Danio rerio: one gene and its partners. The protein of the gene in region 1 purifies or fractionates together with the protein of each later gene. This does not show direct contact. Links are inferred from orthologs where the notes say so. Each region holds a gene or a part of one and is shown in the gene's direction. Other genes may lie near its edges.

Evidence for each region.
Region 2: the proteins of hsf1 (region 1) and ncl purify together in Homo sapiens (affinity purification with mass spectrometry; 3 studies listed by BioGRID, with this or other methods). This does not show direct contact. The link is inferred for Danio rerio from reciprocal best matches to the Homo sapiens genes HSF1 and NCL.
Region 3: the proteins of hsf1 (region 1) and hnrnpd purify together in Homo sapiens (affinity purification with mass spectrometry; 3 studies listed by BioGRID, with this or other methods). This does not show direct contact. The link is inferred for Danio rerio from reciprocal best matches to the Homo sapiens genes HSF1 and HNRNPD.

The regions. Positions count from the first base shown.
Region 1 is NC_133194.1:3,473,398-3,479,943, forward strand, and holds part of hsf1 (heat shock factor protein 1), read left to right. Parts: intron 1-2,759; coding exon 2,760-2,868; intron 2,869-4,102; coding exon 4,103-4,239; intron 4,240-6,546. UniProt on the Homo sapiens protein: Functions as a stress-inducible and DNA-binding transcription factor that plays a central role in the transcriptional activation of the heat shock response (HSR), leading to the expression of a large class of molecular chaperones, heat shock proteins (HSPs), that protect cells from cellular insult damage.
Region 2 is NC_133197.1:38,757,721-38,764,366, reverse strand, and holds the start of ncl (nucleolin), read left to right. Parts: upstream 1-2,796; 5' UTR 2,797-2,930; coding exon 2,931-2,948; intron 2,949-5,710; coding exon 5,711-5,815; intron 5,816-5,895; coding exon 5,896-6,019; intron 6,020-6,115; coding exon 6,116-6,232; intron 6,233-6,588; coding exon 6,589-6,646. Other genes in the region: trim35-34 (tripartite motif containing 35-34), read right to left, coding at 137-532. UniProt on the Homo sapiens protein: Nucleolin is the major nucleolar protein of growing eukaryotic cells. It is found associated with intranucleolar chromatin and pre-ribosomal particles. It induces chromatin decondensation by binding to histone H1.
Region 3 is NC_133185.1:5,487,494-5,494,097, reverse strand, and holds the start of hnrnpd (heterogeneous nuclear ribonucleoprotein D0), read left to right. Parts: upstream 1-2,570; 5' UTR 2,571-2,761; coding exon 2,762-2,922; intron 2,923-6,604. Other genes in the region: hnrnpdl (heterogeneous nuclear ribonucleoprotein D-like), read left to right, coding at 810-880. UniProt on the Homo sapiens protein: Binds with high affinity to RNA molecules that contain AU-rich elements (AREs) found within the 3'-UTR of many proto-oncogenes and cytokine mRNAs.

The DNA.
Region 1 (6,546 bases):
TTATTATGAATAGATATGGTAAAACCTGTGTAAAATGGGCCTAAATATATTTGTAACAGTCACAATCCCACTGACAGAGTTTTATTGGGGAAAAGTTGGTTTTAAATTCACACAGTCAGACGTTCTCTTTAATAATATCATTTCAGAAAAGTATTCTTTGCCAGTTCTAAATATGGAAATCTTTTAGCGGCCAATGACTATCTAAGTACAACAACATTGTTCACAGTCACTTAAATAGGGCTAATGTTGATTTGAAGTCATACTATTTCAGACCGCATGTATAAAAGTAGCATGGTAAATGGTATAGAAACCATGTCACAAGTTGACACTTAGTTCATAAATGAACAACTGTGCGAATATAAAACCAACTTTACCTCATAAACACCACGCTCATTGATATCAAGGCACAGGATTGGGATTTTATCAAAATACAGATATGGTAAAACCAGTGTAAAATGGGCCTAAATGTATTTAGAGAGCTGTCTTTTAGGTTATATTTGAACTCTTCACAGTCATAATCCCACTGACAGGGTTTTATTGAGGTATAGTTGGTTTTGTATTCACACATTCAGACTTTCTTCCTAAAATTATAGTTTCAGATAAGTATTCTTTGCAAATTCCTAATATCATATTGGCAGCCAATGACTGTCTTAGTACAACATTGTTAACAGTCAATTAAATGGTGCTAATGTTGTTTTGAAGTCATGATTAAATGCGATTTCAGACCAAATATATAAAAGTAGTATGGTAAACAATTTAGGGGCCGTGTCAGAAGTTGTCACTTTGTTAAAAAAATGAACGAATGTGTGATTATAAAACCAACTTTACCTCAAACACTACGTTTGTTGATATGAAGGCACAGAATTTGGATTTTACCTAAATTTTTATCTTTTATTATAAATAGATATGGTTCAACCTGTGTAAAATGGGCTTGTATTTAGAGAGCTGTCTTAGTTTATATTTCACAATATTTGTTACAATCCCACTGACAGGGTTTTATTGGGGTAAAGTTGGTTTTATATTCACACAGTCAGACGTTCTCTTTCATAATATCATTTCTGAAAAGTATTCTTGGCCAGTTCTAAATATGGAAATCTTTTTAGCGGCCAATGACTATCTAAATACAACAACTTTGTTCACAGTCACTTAAATGCTAATGTTGTTTTGAAGTCATACTTGCCTACTATTTCAGAGCAAATATATTAAAGTAGCATGGTAGACAATATAGGGGCCGTGTCAGAAGTTGTCTCTTCGTTAAAAAAATGAACGAATGTGCGAATGTAAAACTAACTTTACCTCATAAACACTACATCTTTTAATGTAAAGGCCAAGGATTGTGATTTTACTGAAATATTTTTCTTTTATTATAAATAGATATGGTAAAACCTGTGTAAAATGGGCCTACATGTATTTAGAGAGCTGTCTTTTAGTTGATCTATCAACAGTCACAATCCTACTGATAGGGTTTTATTGCGGTAAAAGTATTCTTTGCTAATTCTAAATAGAGAAATCAGTGACTATCAAAATACAACATTTTTCACAGTTGGATAGTGCTAATTTACTTTTGAAGTCATACTTGCATGCGATTTCAGACCGAATATAAAAAAGTTGCATAGTAAACAATATAGGAGCCTTGTCAGAAGTTGTCACTTAGTTCAAAAAGGAACAAATGTGCGAATATAGAACTAACTTTACCTCATAAACACTACGTTTGTTGATTATGAAGGCACAGAATTGGGATTTTACCTAAATATTTATCTTTTGTTATGAATAGATATGGTTCAACCTGTGTAAAATGAGCTTCAATGTATTTAGAGAGCTGTCTTTTAGTTTATATTTGAGCTCTTAACAGTTACAATCCCACTGACAGGGCTTTATTGAGGTAAAGTTGGTTCTATAGTCACAGATTCATGCTTTCTCAAGAATAATATCATTTTAAAAAAGTAGTCTTTGCTAATTCTAAATGGGGAAATCATATTAGCAGCTAATGGCTACATAGCACAACTTTGTTCACCGTCAATTAATAGCGCTAATGTTGTTTTCAAATTGTTACATGCAATTGTAGACCAAATATATAAAAGTAGCATAGTAAACAATATAGGGCAGTGTCACAAGTAGTCAGTTTACTTAATAATGAATGAATGTGCGAATATAAAACCAACTTTACCTCAATATCTGTGTCAAACAGTCACAATTCCACTGATGGGATTTTTTGACCACATTTATTACGATTCTTTTTGTCCAATCCTGAACTTATTTTAACAAACTGTTTATCAAATGTAATTTACAAGTCATTGAACTTAAAATGTAGGGTGATAGTTAAGGCGCTAACCGTCAGGCTTAAACCAGAGCCGCTAAATAAACACATGAGAAGTTGTAAAGTATTGAATTAACACTATCTGTCAGCTGTCTAATTCTGGACTATTATAAGTGGATTTGGCTGTTAGCTGGTGACTTTGTTTTAAGCTGACAGCCCGAAGAGGGACATTTTATTGGTCATTGAGGTAAAGTTGTTACCCATATGGTTTACCATGCTACTTTTAAAAATTGGATCTGAAATAGCATGTTAAGTATGAATTTAAAATAACATTAGCCATATTTAATAAACTGTGAACAGTGTTGTACTTTGATTGTCATTGGCTGCTAATATGATTTCCCTATTAAGAATTTGTAAATAATACTTTTCTGAAATTGTAAAGTCCTAGTGTGTGAATATAAAGCTAACATTGTTTACTAAAACTGTTTGACTGCGTTTTCAGAATGGCACCAGTTTCCACGTCTTCGACCAGGGCAGGTTTTCCAAAGAAGTTCTGCCGAAATACTTCAAGCACAACAACATGGCCAGTTTTGTCCGCCAGCTCAATATGTGTAAGTATAAGAGGAATATGATAATGGCTTTAATCTGTTTAATCATTTTAATGACCTAATAAACTTTATTTATAGACTTAGATGGTTAAAGCTGAAGGTGTTGAATAAATGTTTAGGCTCATATAAATGTTAACGTGGAAGATTTTGATTCGTGTTTTGTTGGATAATGTGAACATTTTTGGATGGTGTGTATTTTAAATGAAGCTGCACTAAATAAGTAATTCTATATTGTCCACATTTTCTCCATATTTAGTGTTTCAAGATTTTATGCAATGTAGATATGTTTTATCATAATAATAATATTTTTATTTATATATTTCTTGATATTTAATCCTGATTGTGCACATTGTGTAGCTTAGAAATATAATGTTGTCATAATAATAAAAAGACATTTTATTTACATTTTTTATGATACTAATGCTGCCTCCATATTCTATGACATAATAATCTTAATACTCACACTTTTAATTTATAAAATTTCATGATATTTATTCCTGATTGTCCACATTTTGTAGCTTAAAAATATAATGTTATAATAATAATAAAAATAGACATTTAATTTACAGTGTTTTGACACGAATGCTGCCTGTAAATATTTTATAAACGTAATAATCACACTTTTTATTTATAAAATGTCATGGTATTTATTCCTGATTGTCCACATTTTGTAGCCTAAAATATGTTGTTGTTGTAATAATAATAAAAATAGACATTTTATTTAGTATTTTATGACAGGAATGCTGCCTAAATTTATTTTTAGACATAATAATCACACTGTTTATTTATAAAATTTCATGGTATTTATTGCTGATTGTCCACATTTTGCAGCTTAGAAATATAATGTTGTAATAATAAAAATACTCATTTCATACTTCTAGTGTTTCATGACATTAATGCTGCCTAAATGTATTTTTTAATAATAATAATAATAATAATCATACTTTTATGTACAGATGTTTATGATATTAATAGTAGACCACATTTATGAGCTAGACTGAGTATTTCTTAAAATAATATTAATACCTCTTATGTACAGTTCCATGACTTTAATGCCAAGTTTTCCACATTTAACTTAGCTTAGAGGTTTAGTTATATTATAATTATAAATATAATTGTAGTTTTATGCATTTCTTATTCAATATTATTTAAAATTTGAGTATATACTTAAGTTGAATGGAGAAAGGAGTGTGCATTATGAACATTATGGTAATGTGTTTCTGTTCTTATTATGCAGATGGTTTTCGGAAAGTGGTCCACATTGAGCAGGGAGGGCTGGTAAAACCAGAGAAAGACGACACAGAGTTCCAGCATCCATATTTCATCCGGGGACAGGAGCAACTTCTGGAGAATATTAAGAGGAAGGTGACCACGGTGAGTGCGTTCTCATCTGATTTAACCAGACAATTACATCTGCACATCATAAAACATCTTATTAAAAAAGAGAGTATATGAGCGGGGCGTTTATTAGACCCTCAGTGACTTTGGGTTTTAAGTGCCCTCATGGTTTTTATAATTAGTCTGTATTTCAGAGGGGCTTTTTAAATCCAAAGCAGCTTACATTGAGGCTGAAGTTGATTTAGGACGCTGTTATGATGTCAGACCTGTAATGAGCTCTCAGCATTTTGGGGGGGTTTCCCCTGCTGTTCTTGGTAGGCTTTGAAACCTGCAGTGTTTCGCTTTTTAGATCAACAATTGACAATTACATTCTTCCACTGGGAGACATTTAATAAGTTATGATTAATGGACTTTTCTTACTGGAAGCCAGCTCAATATGTGTAGTTTGTGCTGTAGGTGTTTATCAAGTTGTGGGGCCTTACTTTTTCATGTATTCTGGATGCATTTGACTGATGTATTTGCCATTTTCTGATATTTTGATTAATATTAGTATACTTTTCTTATTTATATATATAAAAAAAAAATTAAACAAAATTTATCATTTTGAAATACCATATGACATTTCCTATTTATTTATATTACATTTTATTTTACTTATGCGTTTTTGTAAATATTTATATTTATTTTAAGAATTTTAATATAAGGACTCTCAAAAATGCATGAATAAGTAAAATAAAATGTAATGTAAATAAATAACAGGTCACCAGGGACGTCTTATATGGTATATTATTTACCAAAATAATTTATCTTTTTGAAATATCTTATAAAATGAATCTGGTGACCTTTTATTTATTTATTTATTTATTTATTATACATTTTATATGACTTATGCATTTTAACTGGTCACAAGAGATGTCATAGGCTAAAGTATTTTTTTAAACTAAATTTATCATTTTGAAATGCCTATATGACTTCTCTGGTGACCTTATATTTATTTATTTATTTATTTATTTATATTAAATTAATTTTACTTATTTGTGCATTTTTGTGAATATTTATATTTATTTGAACAATTTTGAAATAAATACTCACAAAACTGCACAAGTAAAATAAAATGTAATATAAATAAATAAACAAATAACAGGTCACCAGAGACGTCATATGAGGTATATTATTTAACAAAATAATTTATAATTTTAAAATTTCCTAACTTTTATTCATTTATTTATTTTACATTTTTTTACTTATTAATGCAATTTTGTAAGTATTTATATTTAATTTAACAATTTTAAAATGAATACTCACAAAATACATAAATAAGTCAATTAAAATCTAATATAAACAAATAACAGATCACCACAGACATCATATAAGGTATATTATTCAACAAAATAATTGATCATTTTAAAATACCTTGCAAGACTTATCTGCTGAACTTATTTATTTACATTACATTTTATTTGACTTATTGATGCATTTTTGTTAGTATTTATACATTTTTAACATTTTTAATATAAACACTCACAGATAAATGCATAAATTAGTCAAATAAAATGTAATATAAATAAATAGCAGGCCACCAGAGACAACATATAAGGTATTTCAAAATTATATATTGTTTTCTTCAATATTTTTATGACTAAATAATAACTTTTAAACGTATAGAGTTAATATATTATGCAATATTTTTTAATTTCATGTTTTCACAGTAATAGTCTGAATCATTAGATTAATTACAGACCAATTTTATTTAATCGACAGCCCTAGTTCATAACATTCAGAAAGGTAAATTTGATGTTCTTATAATACATAAAAATATATAAATACTATATAATTTATAACAACATATATGTACATATATTCGCAATTATTAAATTGTACACACAGAATAAAAATGTTTTCTTCCAGTTGAAACCATGTTAATGGCATTTATATTCTTTTATTTTACAGAAAAGTTCCCACGGTTATTAACAGCTTAAATCTATAATTTTCTTTACAAAGTTAGATGTACATTTAATCAATAGAGAGCATGATTTAACCGAAACATTTAAAAGCCCCTCGAATTCTGTTTAGAGATCTGCAACTTAGATTTTCCCCTTAAGAAATTTGCAAAGCTGGGATGATGTCTAACCAGCCCAAGTTATTATAATAGTTTTTTTTTTTGCAATCAATGATTTCCATGTGCTCTGCCGGGTTTCCTCGGGCCAGTTTAACTCCTGGTGTCCCTCTTTCCCCCCTTTGGCTCGGTGACAGATTGCGATAATCAGCAGGTCGGAGCTGAAGCCAGCTGGAGACTTGAGTGTGGATTAGAGACCGAGGTTCTGGGGCACTTAATCTGGCGTC
Region 2 (6,646 bases), on another chromosome or scaffold:
TCAGATATAAAAGTAATGTGTTCATAGTGTAAACTATTGAATAGTACATTTTTCATGAGCAAAATGAATCTGAGACATTTCTACAAGTAAAAAAAATGTCTATGATTATAGAAGTTCAAGCGTAATTCAGTCTTACCTTCTTTGGTGAAACCATTTCACTGATGGGTCTGAATGTGTGTTTGAGGTGTTTCTCTGAATCTCTGCACACTAAACACACAGGCTGTTTGTCCTTTACACAGTAGAGTCTTCGTTTCTTACCGTGTAAACTGCAGATCTCCTCAGATCTTGATGAATGTCTCTTATTTCTCTTTTTCAGATGCGACTCACACAAGTTTTGTAAAGCCAGATTAACTGGAGGATCAGCTATTGAGGATCTTGTCCTGCAGACGGGACACTCCTGAGTATTCTCGCTTCTCCAACACTGCTGAAGACACTCTTGACAGAAACTGTGGCCACATGATAATATAACTGGAGTCTTGAAGATATCCTGACACACAGGACATGTGTAATCATCTTTAGCTGATGAAGCCATTTTGAAATCCACTAGTTTTAACTTTACTTCCACTACTTGAATGCTTAAAAGGAAAAACAAATTAAGTGTGCGATCCGCTGTGTGAAATCTAGATGAAGGTCTGCTTGAATGGAACAAGTGGGAGTCTCTTTCTGGTGAGCGTTTCAGTGGGCGGAGCCGTTGGGTTCAGTGTGTGTGTGTGTGTGTGTGTGTGTGTAGGGTGGTTCATATAAAGCACGCGTAAGTTACTCAAAGATGTGATTTCAGAGTTTGCATGCACACAAAAATATCAGTATGTTCATATTTCTTAACAATCTCTACACGGAAGAAAAAAAAAAAAACACGGAAAAGTGCAGCTCTGAGAAGATGAAGAATCAGGGTCTGGGAAGACGTTTTAGCATGATTGACATTGGCATCATCCAATCGGCAGGTAGCGCCGTCTTTTTTAAAAGCCTGATTGGTTGATGCTTGGGATGCCTCACGTGTGATTGTTTATATTTAAATTTACAAAATAAAAAAAATAAGTTTTCTTGTAAATATATTTTTGATATACAACAATAATAATAATAAAACTTTCGAGCAAATTTGTAAAATAAATTTCATGATTATATATAAGAAGTGCCATATAGACGAATTACCATGTTTGCAAACAACAAGGTACCAGAAGAAAAAAAAAACGGGAGCGCTAGCATTTACAGCGAGGCACAGAGTTTGTTTTTGTCTAAGAAATAAGTTATATTGACAACATACGTATATATATATATATATATATATATATATATATATATATATATATATATATATATATATATATATATATATATATATATATATACATATATATATATATAAATAAATAAATATATATGTATATATATATATATATATATAAAATTTACATAATGCTTTTAGCGTATTATAACAGCTCGTCACCCAGTGATAAGCACAGTGATTCTGTAAAATTAACGTTAAAGTGAGTGACATACCAGTTCATACTGACAATATACTGATCCACATTAGAAACATGACATGCCTTGCAATGACACACACACACACACACACACACACACACACACACACACACACACACACACACACACACACACACACACACACAGACACACACACATATATATATATATATATATATATATATATATATATATATATATATATATATATATATATATATATATATATATATATGGTAATGACATACCAATATATACTAATCATACTTGAAACATACTCAGAACACCTTAGCAACCACCTAGCAACCACTCAAAACACCTTAGCAACCACCTAGCAACACCTTAGAAATGACCTAGCAACTGCTAGCAACATCTTAGTAACCACCTGAAACACCTGAAACACCCTAGCAACCACCTAGCAATGCCTTGCAATGACACACACACACACACACACATATATATATATGGCAATGCTTTAGCAACCACTCAGAATTCCCAGGCAACACCTTAGCAACGGCCTAGCAACCAATCAGAGCATGCTAGCAACCACCTAGCAACACATAAGCAACGAGCTAGATCATCTATAGCAACCACCTAACACCTCCTTAGCAACCACTCAGAACACATCAACCGACTAGCAACATCTTAGTAACCACCTAGAACACCCTAGCAACTGCCTAGAAACACCTTAGCTACCGCCTAGCAAAACCTTAGCAACCACTCAGAACACATAAGCAACCACCTAGCAACGTCTTAGAAACCACCTGGAACACCCTAACAACTTCCTAGTAATGCCTTAGCAACAACTCAGAAGTCCCAGGCAACACCTTAGCAACCGCCTAGCAATGCCTTAGCAACTACTTATTAACACCTTAGCAACCACTCAGAACACCCTAACAACTGGCTAGCAACACCTTAGCAACCAATCAGAACAACCAAACAACTGAGTTGCAATGCCTTGCCAACTGCATAGCAACCACTGAGAACCCCTAGCAACATACCAAACTATATTGGAAACATGCTAATCTTTTGATAACTGTTTCAAACTTAAAACACTTCAGTTATTTAAACTTCACACTTTCAGACTCGGCTTTCTCAAGAGACCAAGTTTGTCTACGAACTTTAAATTTCTAGTTCATTCATTCATTCATTCATTCATTCATTCATTCATTCATACTGTTCAATGAGCGCAAAAAAATCAGAAAAAAACTGTTCAAAAGAACCGAATGGAGATAACGAGTCTGAACAGCAGCGACTCGGTTCACATTGAGCTTCGTGAACGCGCATATGGTAAACGTCATGGGTGTAGTGGGCGGGGTTTTTCAGGACGTACTAAAAGCGTATCGAGCGCTCTTTTCTGTCCTGTAGAGAGAAACACGTGTGACTGAACGGTTCTTACCATCTCTCTCTTTCAGTTATCAGCTTTACTGTAAAAACAGCCCTCAGTCATGGTAAAGCTCGCTAAGGTAAGATATTACCGTCAATCCGTTATTGTCGCTTTAAATGCAGCACGGATCTCAAAATGCGTATTTTCCTGTTTTTATTTTTACATTTGGCGAGAAGGCCCATGTGTGTGAGTTATATTTAGTTTAACATATATAATATTCGTCGGAATGTAAGGTTAAATATTCAAATACTTATTTAAGGATCAGTATTGACGGCTAAAATGAGCTAGCGTGTGTTTTCTGCTTTTCCTGTTTGTGAAGGTAACATGGCCGACCACGCTTCTGCATTTGCAGGCCTCAACAAACACGCATGATGAACATGCGTGGTGAATTTTAAGAAGACTCGTTTTGTGATGTTGTAAAAACAAATTGCGTTGATTAATAAACCCTGGGGAGGTGTTAATGTGTCGTGGATTTAGCTCCAAGGCATTTGTTCGCCATGCGTGGAAAGTAGCTAAATGCTAAACGCCTCCATTTTGGCTCTCTGTAGTGAATGTGGGGGCATTTAACACGTATAAGACCGTGCACTAAACACAATTGCGTTTTAACTCGTGTTTCACTGTTTATATGAGTCAAGTATGTAAATGCGGCACGAAATTTAATTTAATTACGTTATTTCTACTTCGCTGTAGGGTTAACGTGTGTTTTCCACGTGTTACGTTCAACCCACGTGGGATGATCCACGCGGGGAGTTTCGCGAGCAGTACTTTACTTTTTGAGTACTTTGTTACAGATCCATACTTAAGAAATATTCATTAACAGTCATAATTTTATTTTAGTTTATTATTTGTATAAGTACATTATTTACATTAAGTCATGCACTTAATAGTCAAATTTTAAAAGGTTGTACCACGAATGAATTATATGCAAAATCTCCAATAACACGTGTTACACCTTTAGTGATTGAAAGGTAAAAATGTTGGATTTTAGGAACCAATCTAAATATTTTAATTGGTGTTGTGCCAGTCTTGTATTTATCTTTTTTTTTTTTTTTTTTTTTTTTTTTGCACATTTGTCTTATAAATGTATTAATACTAAAGATGAAAAGTTTTAGATGAGAATTCAGATTTTTATGCGAAATCTTACGCTTGTTTATGCAAGATTGTGTTTGTGTTTTAAACATGCACAAGTTACCTGTGAACTTAATGAATGCCAAGTCTTGTTAAATGTACACAAGTCAACATTTGAGGATGGTTAAGACCTTTCATTGGTCAACTATGTCTGTCTTGAGACAACTTGGGTGTACTTTTTTTTTTCCCCCCCTAGATGTTTAGTTTATTTGACCCTTTCATAGCCCTAACTGCAAGAGCTAAGGGGGATGTGCGATTTGGAGAAAATGTCTTGATTGCAATTTTTGTTTTGACAGATTTTTTTGATTTGAGTCAAGATTCAGCTCAGTCTGTTTCACTGCATAGATATGATTATTATTATATATGTTATTATATATTAATAATATTAATTTCACCATTTATTCAAATTAGTTGTTAAATATTCAGAAATTGAAATCATTTTTCGCTTGAGCAAACAGTAAGATAAAAAAAATTACCTTTCCTTTTTGTGCATCAGCTCAAAGTAAGGAGATGATGTAGCTTATTTAAGGTATCTGCAGAATTGTAAAGTTTTAAAATTAAATATATATGAATTTTAGGCCTTAAAGTCTTTAATCCGCTGCACTATTGTGTTGTAGGTCTTAATTTTAAACTGGTCTTAATTTTCCTCTGTAAAGCTATACCCAATCAGGACAGCACCCGTCTAATAACTAACATTATATTTCATAAGTTTAAAAAAAACATCATTTACACTATTTGCATATTAATATGGTTTTATTTATCTTTGCAAAAACATTTGTTTTTAATGATATGGTTTTAACTTGGCCATTAAAAAATCTTTAGTGTTTAGCCTTGTGCAAGTCTGAATTGGTCTTAAATTTGACTTGCTGGAACTTGTAGACACCTTGTTATTATACTTACAATAATATAATAATTGTGAAAGTACACTCCGCAAATTAATGAGACCGATAAGAGGCAGATTGAAAAGTTCTGATTGGGCAGAACGAAAGTGTGCTCACTCAATCGGCTAGTAAGACTTGACATTTGCTCTGAGTGTGGGACATTAAGTACATATTCTACATCGTAGTGCATTAAATCAGAATAATTGTCACTGATTTAAGTGAACATTTGTATAAAAATTCATGTAGGGTTTTTTTTTTCATTAATATATATATAATGACATTTGAGATTTCAAGTGTGAAAAGATTAATAATGGATCATGCTATAAACATGGTGACATTCAGAATTTTGTATTCTTGTCAGCTTTACCAATTGTAAGTTTCTAATTCAATGCAATATGGTTTCAGCTATGACTGTTTATGAAGTATGAACGCTGAGCATACAGATGTATTAAATTTATTGCACTTTTAAAGCTTTATATAGCCTAAACAAGAGTAGCCACACCTCATGATCTCCAAACAAATGCTGAAGTGAAAGCGTTCGAATGCATCAAGATTGAATGTGTCATTGATTGAAGCTTAAACTATATGCTGTCATTTCTGCATAATGGCATCTAGCTAATTTATAAAGGGTGGAACTCGTGTTTAATACATGCACAAGTGCTAAAACAATCTGTTAAATCTTTCTTGCACCGCAGGACTGAAACTGAAACTGAAACCATTTGAGGTTTCTGTTGACTAAATGTGCAAAGCTTTGACTGTCTAGTTGCTAAATCAATTTCTAATCGCACAAATCAACATTTAAATTAATATTTTCATTGCTTGTTTGTTACAGGCAGCTAAAAAAGATGCGCCGCCGAAGAAAAAGGCACCTCCACCTCCTAAAGAAGTGGAAGAGGAATCCAGCGAGGAGGACAGTGATGACGATGAGGAAGAAGAGGTGAGGAGGCTGACAAATAATGCGCTTTATTTTTTTCCTGTTGCTATTGAAAGGTATTTAATGAACTGTGTATTCGGCAGGCACCACCAGTCAAAGCTGTAGCGAAGAAAAACGCGGCTCCTGTGAAGGCAGTGAAAAACGGAAAAGCTGCTGCCAAACAGGAGAGTGAGGATGAAGATGACGACGATGAAGATGATGAATCTGGTTAGCAAAGTTTTCAGTCGTGCATTTTTATTTTATTTTTTTTATTCCTTTGAGTCTGAAGGTCAGGTGTAATTTGCATTGACTTGTACTTCACAGAAGAGGAAGCTCCGCCTCCAAAGAAGGCCGCTAAAGCTCCAGCTAAAGCAGCAGCTCCTGCAAAGAAAGCAGCTCCTGCTGAAGAGTCCAGTGAAGAGGATGACGACGATGATGATGGTATGAAAACTATCTGCCTAGATGTTTATTAGATCAGCAGTTTTAAAGGGATAGTTCACAGTTATTAAATGACTCATTTACTCTCCCTCAAGTGGTTCCTAACCTGATTGACTTTTCTGAACACTGAAGATGATAGCCATTGACTTCCATAGTACAAAAAACAAACTAAGAAGATCAATGGTTACTGGTGTACAAGATGTTTCAATTTCTTTTTATTAGGCAAAGGGTGTGAAATTGATTGCATTTTTTGGGTGGTCTATTACCAAGGAAATTAAATGCATTATCAATTTTAATGAATTTAACCCTTTAGGCATGATTAAAATGTATTACTTTTATATAATCTTCTGTATTTCTAGATGATGAATCCGAGGAAGAGGCTCCACCTCCCAAGAAGGCTCCTGCCAAAGCTACACC
Region 3 (6,604 bases), on another chromosome or scaffold:
ATTTTTATCAGAAGTAAACCTTAAACTGTTTTAGATTTTTATATTCTCGTTATTATTTATGTATTTCATCTTGTGTATTATTTATTGCTGTTGATGACTTTTAATTGTTAGAATATTTCTATAATTATAGAAAATTATACTTATAAAATGTGGTAAACTTGATCTGTTTTTTGCCATGACATGGCCAGAAAAGCTGATATAGCAAACTCAACATTCTTCCTCATTCACTGACAAAAAAAACTAATTAAGCGGCATTAAAATGAATACATATTTAAAACATGATTTATAATATTACATTAAATGGTCATTGTTTGAAATAAAGCAGTTTTACAATATTATAATATAGTTTATTATATATATTTTTTAAATAAAAATATTTTTGAAAGCATTTTAATTCACTTTGTGTGCTGAATAGTGATTCTTTTAACATTTACCTTTAGCAAATTTAGTTTTTACTAAGTAGTTGTCCCAACATATATTTATGTATACGGTTATGTGTAGTTTTTAATGCACATTGACTGTCATTTACATCAGTGTTTCTCAACCACATTCCAGGAGGACCACCAACACTGCATGGATGTCTCCTTTCTCCGTCACACCCATTAGATGGGTTTCAGTCTCTGCTAATGAGCTGATGATCTAAATCTGGTGGGTTTAGTTGAGGAGACATGAAAAATATGCTGAGCTGGTGGTCCTCCAGGAACATGGTTGAGACACTGATTTACATAATATTGTGTTTTTAGTTTTTTTCACATACATGTTGCATTTCTGCTACACCGGGCCTCATCACTGTATATATTAAATTATAGGTCAACAGAGCAGCTATGGCAAGGCCTCACGGGACAGCGGAAACCATCAGAACAGCTACCAGCCGTATTGATGAAGTGGCGAAACAATGGTAAGATTGCCTACTTGCTGCGCTCTGAGCTCGACCTCAATATTAAAGATCAATAGACAATAAACTAACAGCCTAAGGAGTAGAGTACATGTCTATAGATCTTTAATTGCACCTGTTTGTGTAGCCATTTTGCTTTTTTTAGCGTGCCAGAAAAGCGTAAGCGTTTTTCTGTAGGTTTTTTCCATTTTCTCCTCCTGCTTTAACAGGTGATCATAAAGGAATAACATAGAAAAAGTTGATAGCAATGCTAACAGGTAATGTACGGCTAAAAGGGTACAGAGTAAAAGGCGCCTCTCCTTATTTTTCCTTTCTTTCCCTAATTCTGATTATTGTACCTTGTTTGTACCTGCCAGCGGGGACTTCATTGCAGGCCGTGTGTCACCTGACCACGTCATTCTCTGGGCGTCGCACATAGCGGGCAGAGAGCACGGCATGCACGAGAAAGCGCTGTCCTGTGGTATGGTCTCTTCCAACTTCCTGTACCAGCGTAAAACAAACAAACAAAGGAGATTTTCCCCCATTTCATTAAGTTGTTGGTTTTCGTTAACAGTTCCAAATGTTTTTTTCCAGGACTTTGTTAATGTAACCTAAAAGTGATTGATAACTGCTTTGTTGTATGCTCTTTTTTTCAATTGTAGTGCTCTTGTATTTCAGTTGTGGAGCTTCAGTGATTGATTTATTAATTTATTTCTTTGTAATGTTTGGTTTTTGGTTACCTCCCCATGTAAATAATTGCATAAACTCTCTCATAATGCTTGCTTTTTCTTTAGAGGCCATAGAGAACTTCAAATGGGTACACCTCAGTGCTTTTTTCTTAAGCATAGCCTTTAAAGATCATATGTAAAGTGAGTTTTACGAAGCCATTAAAAGCTGAGAAATCTGATTTAAAACAGTTCAAGGATTGGCTAAAGTTTTTAATAACCATACCGTTTACACAGGATAAAGGCTAACCTGTTTGGGCTCGCTCCTCGATTGGTCCACAAACCGCTTGGAGCTGAGGCTTTTGCTGGCTTATGAGCTGTTCTGTCAGTCGGAGACGTTTAACATATGATCTTTAATCCTTAATGATGGTTTTCCTAGTTTAAAATCGACAGCTCAAGAAGTTAAACACTGAAACATGGACGTGCTTTGCTCGAGGTGTGGAAACCGGGTGATTCATCTCTGCTCTCTTCTCTTGTAGGTGGGCAGGTTGACTTCGACATTGCTCCTCGGAGGCAGCTTGTGTGGAATCCTGTCCTTAAACAACTATTAAAAACGTTATTCGGTCCTCTGGGGACAAATCCAGTGTCTAACCTTGTAAATAGCGAGGTGTTTCGTTTCCCAAGTTTGTCTTATTCTGTGCTTTGTTCAGATTGAACCTGTAGGTTTTGTGCTGATGTGTTCTTAAGTCTTGATTAGGAAAAGTGTCCTTTATTTTGTATTTTTAGTTCTTTTCCTGACGTTTTTGGATAAAGGGATTAAAAATTCTGAGAAAACCAATGTTTCTTTGTCGTGTGATTATTTTATACAACATTTATGACTAAGTTTTTTTAAAATATGTAATGTACATATAATAATTCAATATTATGCATTTAAAAGGTTTGAGATAAACAAACTAGATTTCCAGCCCTACAGCCAATGAGCGTGAAGCGACGTTGACGTATTTTGTAACCTTAGTGACGCCATCCCGTTCAACTTCCGGTTCTCCGCCATTTTGTGAATGGACGCCGTTGCCATCGACATTCTGAAATCAGACTAATACAAACGCGAATTTGAGCCGCATTAACACGATTTATAGGCATTTCGCTTCGGTTACGACCTAAGACGTTTTCGTCTGTAGAAACGACTGTAGCCGCGCGTGTTTTCGCCAATAGTTGATCAAATATGTCGGAGGAGCAGTTTCTGGGCGAAGACCCGACGATGAAGATGGAGGAAAATGATGATGGAGAAGGTTTCGGCGAAGAGCAGATGTCGGGGGATAATGGAGGACAGGGAGAAGCCGAGGGCTCCAAGATTGATGCCAGTAAAAATGAGGAGGACGAAGGGTGAGTTTCGGCTCCTGATGCACCATGGGAACAGACTGTAACCGAAGAATAAAATAACCTTGAGTTCATACATCGCTTCCCAATAGTAGTCGATTAGATGAGTAATTATCAACAAGGAATCGTTTTATATTAATTTAAAGTATTATAATCATTGCATTAATATTTGTGGTCATTATGCAATATTAATATCGTTATCAAAAGTGGCCGGTTGTGTAAATAACATGAATATGTGTGTCGGAGTATCGATTGATCGCTTTGCATACGTTTGTAGTAATTAATGTGGACTATCAATTGAAATGCTTTCAAAGCATTTGGTGATTTTAATGTAAATGAAGGTTTATTAAAATGTTTTCTATCTTTTGTTTAAAATATAACTTACTAGTCATATCCTAGTACAGGGTATCTGCTGTGTCTAAAATTGTCTTGAATCTCAAAAGCTAAATTTTAGGCTTTAAGAAGTCTAAATATACTGAAACATCGTGTTGTAGGTCTTAAATCTTTTTAACAGGTCTTAATTTTCCCTTGTTCATGTGTAGCGACCAAATCTAGCCATTAACAGCCATACATTCCCAATCTCTATAAAAGTCGTTTTAAAAATAACATTTATACCATAAAGTTATTATTACTTACAGTAACATTTGTTTAAAAGTTACTGCCAAGGATACTGACCTGACCTATATATTTTCATCAATAAATTATTATTATTGTATTATTAAATTTAAATACAGTGGACAAAAGGTAAAAATATTCAAATGAAAAAAAATCCTTAGCATTTAGCCTTGTATATTTCTAAAATTTCATTCATAATCTTCTTAAAAAATCTTAAATTTAACTTGTTGAAAGCGGCAGAAACCCTGTAATATTGTGTCATTTACATGCATTAACAATGATCAGTTAAATTTTTATTTAGTAAATTGATGAAAGAATAATAAATACTTTAACAGATGTATTGCCCGTCTCACTGTAAAGTGTTCCCTAATATTCGTTTGATAGTTCACCCTAAAATGAAAGACACTCAAATGGTTTCAAACCTTTTTCAGTTGAACACAGAAAAAGATATTTTGAAAAATGTTGCCAAGCTGTAGCCATTGACTTCCATAGCAGGAAACATATACTGTGGAAGTCAATGATTTCCAAAAATGTTCAGAATATCCTTTTTGTGTTTTTACAGAAAAAAAAAACTCATTGAGGTTTGTTCAAGTGGAGGATGAGTGAATGATGACAGAATGTTCTGTTTTGGGTGAACTGTCGCTTTAATGGACAGCTGCAAGTTGACTCATTTTCCAAATACATTTGCCTTTCAAATGCAGCTTTGTCAAATGTCAATTTGACAAAAGCATATTTTGAGAAACTCGGATTTAGAACTGAATGGTGTTTTTTTGTCTAGTATGCATAAATGAATTACTTTATGACAAAACAAGACTGAAATATAATCATCTATGGTCGGTTGCAGAAACTACTTAGACTAGTCATACAAGGTAGTCATTGTTTATATAATTATTATTTCCTATAAAGACTGGTCATAACTACAGGTATACACGTGTAATAGTCAATATGGAAAGTTAATAAACATCAATTATTTTGCTGCTAATCTGCAATGCTAATTTATTTTTAAAATGAAAATTAAATCTAATATTTATGGTTGTTTTAATTTTTGTAAGAAAATAATGAAATGCTTCTGTTAATCAACAGATTCTCTTGACTAGCCTGGAAAGATACTCCATCACAGTTACATTTTCAAATGCACATCATAGACCATTTTATGGGACGTAAACAAAAACAATAGTCCCAATGTATTTCCTGTTTTACATTTTTTATTTCTGTAGCTTTCGAGAATCCAAAAAGAGCCACATATTGATAAATGATGTTATGACAGCTATTTTATCAAGTTACGATTGAATTGCCTCTTGTTACAGTTATGAAATAGTTTGATAACATGCAGGAAATGTTCATGGGCCAATGACATGACCACATTGAAATGGTCTATAAGCGACTCAGACTCAAATGCAGCATTCGCGAAGACGGCATTCAGAAGAGCAGGATTTATTTACAGTGAACCGAGGTGCACTGAGTCTAAAAACACTGTTATCATGAGCTGCTTATGTTAAAAGTCACAGTGCTGCACATCACATTACATATAATTACAACCCAGTATTTGCTGTCTGACAAACATGCTAATCCATATCATGTTCTCAGGCATTTTTAGAATAAATGAAATGAAGTAACCTATTTACTCTACTTTGGTGTGTTAAGTTTATCCCTCCCGAGTTGAAATCTGATTAAAATCAGATAGAAATCACTCTAAAGAGATAAGTTTACCTCAAAATTAAAACGTTCTCACTATTTTCTCAAGCCTCAAGAGATTCCAAATCCAAACCTTTGAGTTTTTATCTTCTGTTGAACACAAAAGATGTTTTGAAGAATGTTGGAAACCTGTAACCATTGACTTCCATAGTAGGGGAAAAAACAAATACTATGGAAGTAAGGGGTTTTCAGCTTTATTCAAAATATCATTTGTTCTGTTCAAGTGGAAGGTAAGTAAGGAATTTGCACTATTTCCTTTTTTGAATTGTTTTTTCTTTTCCTTTAAGGAAAAGTTTTTTTTTTTTGAAGAACAAAAACAATCTAAGCCCACAATAGCATTCATTTATTGTTTCTGGAAAGTTCTCCGTCCACACCATATTGCTTTACTAAACAACGTACATCATGTGACCATACAATGTATGTTCAAGTATAAACAGGAAGTATGTGCTTCACTCAGCATGTGGTTACTAGGCAACTAGGGCTGTGCGATTAATCAAAATCGAATCACAATCGTGATTTGAATCGTTTCGATTAGCTAATCGCAAGAGGCTGCTATATGAAATATAAATTTAACTTCCCCCACCCAGAGCAAATGCATGACTGCCTTCTGTGTGTGACAGTCTTACTAGCCAATTGAGTGAGCTTACTTTTATTCTGCCCAATCAGAATTGCGCAACCGAACTATGCAGAACGCCCACAATAAAAACAAACAGGAAAGCGCGAACGAGTGGGATGATAGCATCTGCCGCTTCAGAAGCATTAATAGACTAATTAATGTTAAAGAAAATAAGCATGTCAGTAATATGGGAATATATTGGTTTCAAAGTCACAGACACCAAACAAAACTTGGTAATTTGCAAGAGCTGTTGCAGAATTGTGGCCACAGCATGAGAAAATGCAACAACCAGCACCTAAAAAAGTACCACAGGTGACGATATGAGGAGCATTTTGCTAAAAATGTAACTAAAAGTACTGCCAGTGACACTCAATCTAGTAGCTAGCAACAGCAAAGTACAATTTCAGAGTTGTTTGCTAATATAATTTAATACTGTTCCTTTTTTTAATTAACACTCACTGCATTTAGCAATAAGAAGCTACGATACAGATTGAGCTGAAGCTTGACTGCAAAATAAATTGCAAATCAAATCGAAATTGCAATATCTGTCAAAAAAAATCACCATTAGATAATTTCCCCAAATCGCACAGTCCTATAGTCAACAACAGAGTCTGCACTCCAGTCCATATTTTTATGCCCTTCACTCGCTAACTTACCTTCACCTCTTTTCCTCGGATGTGCATCATTGATTACGTTACACAAGTGTCGACCCCTGGTGGAACATCTGAATGGGTTTCAATAAATGCTCTTGAGCACTTGAGA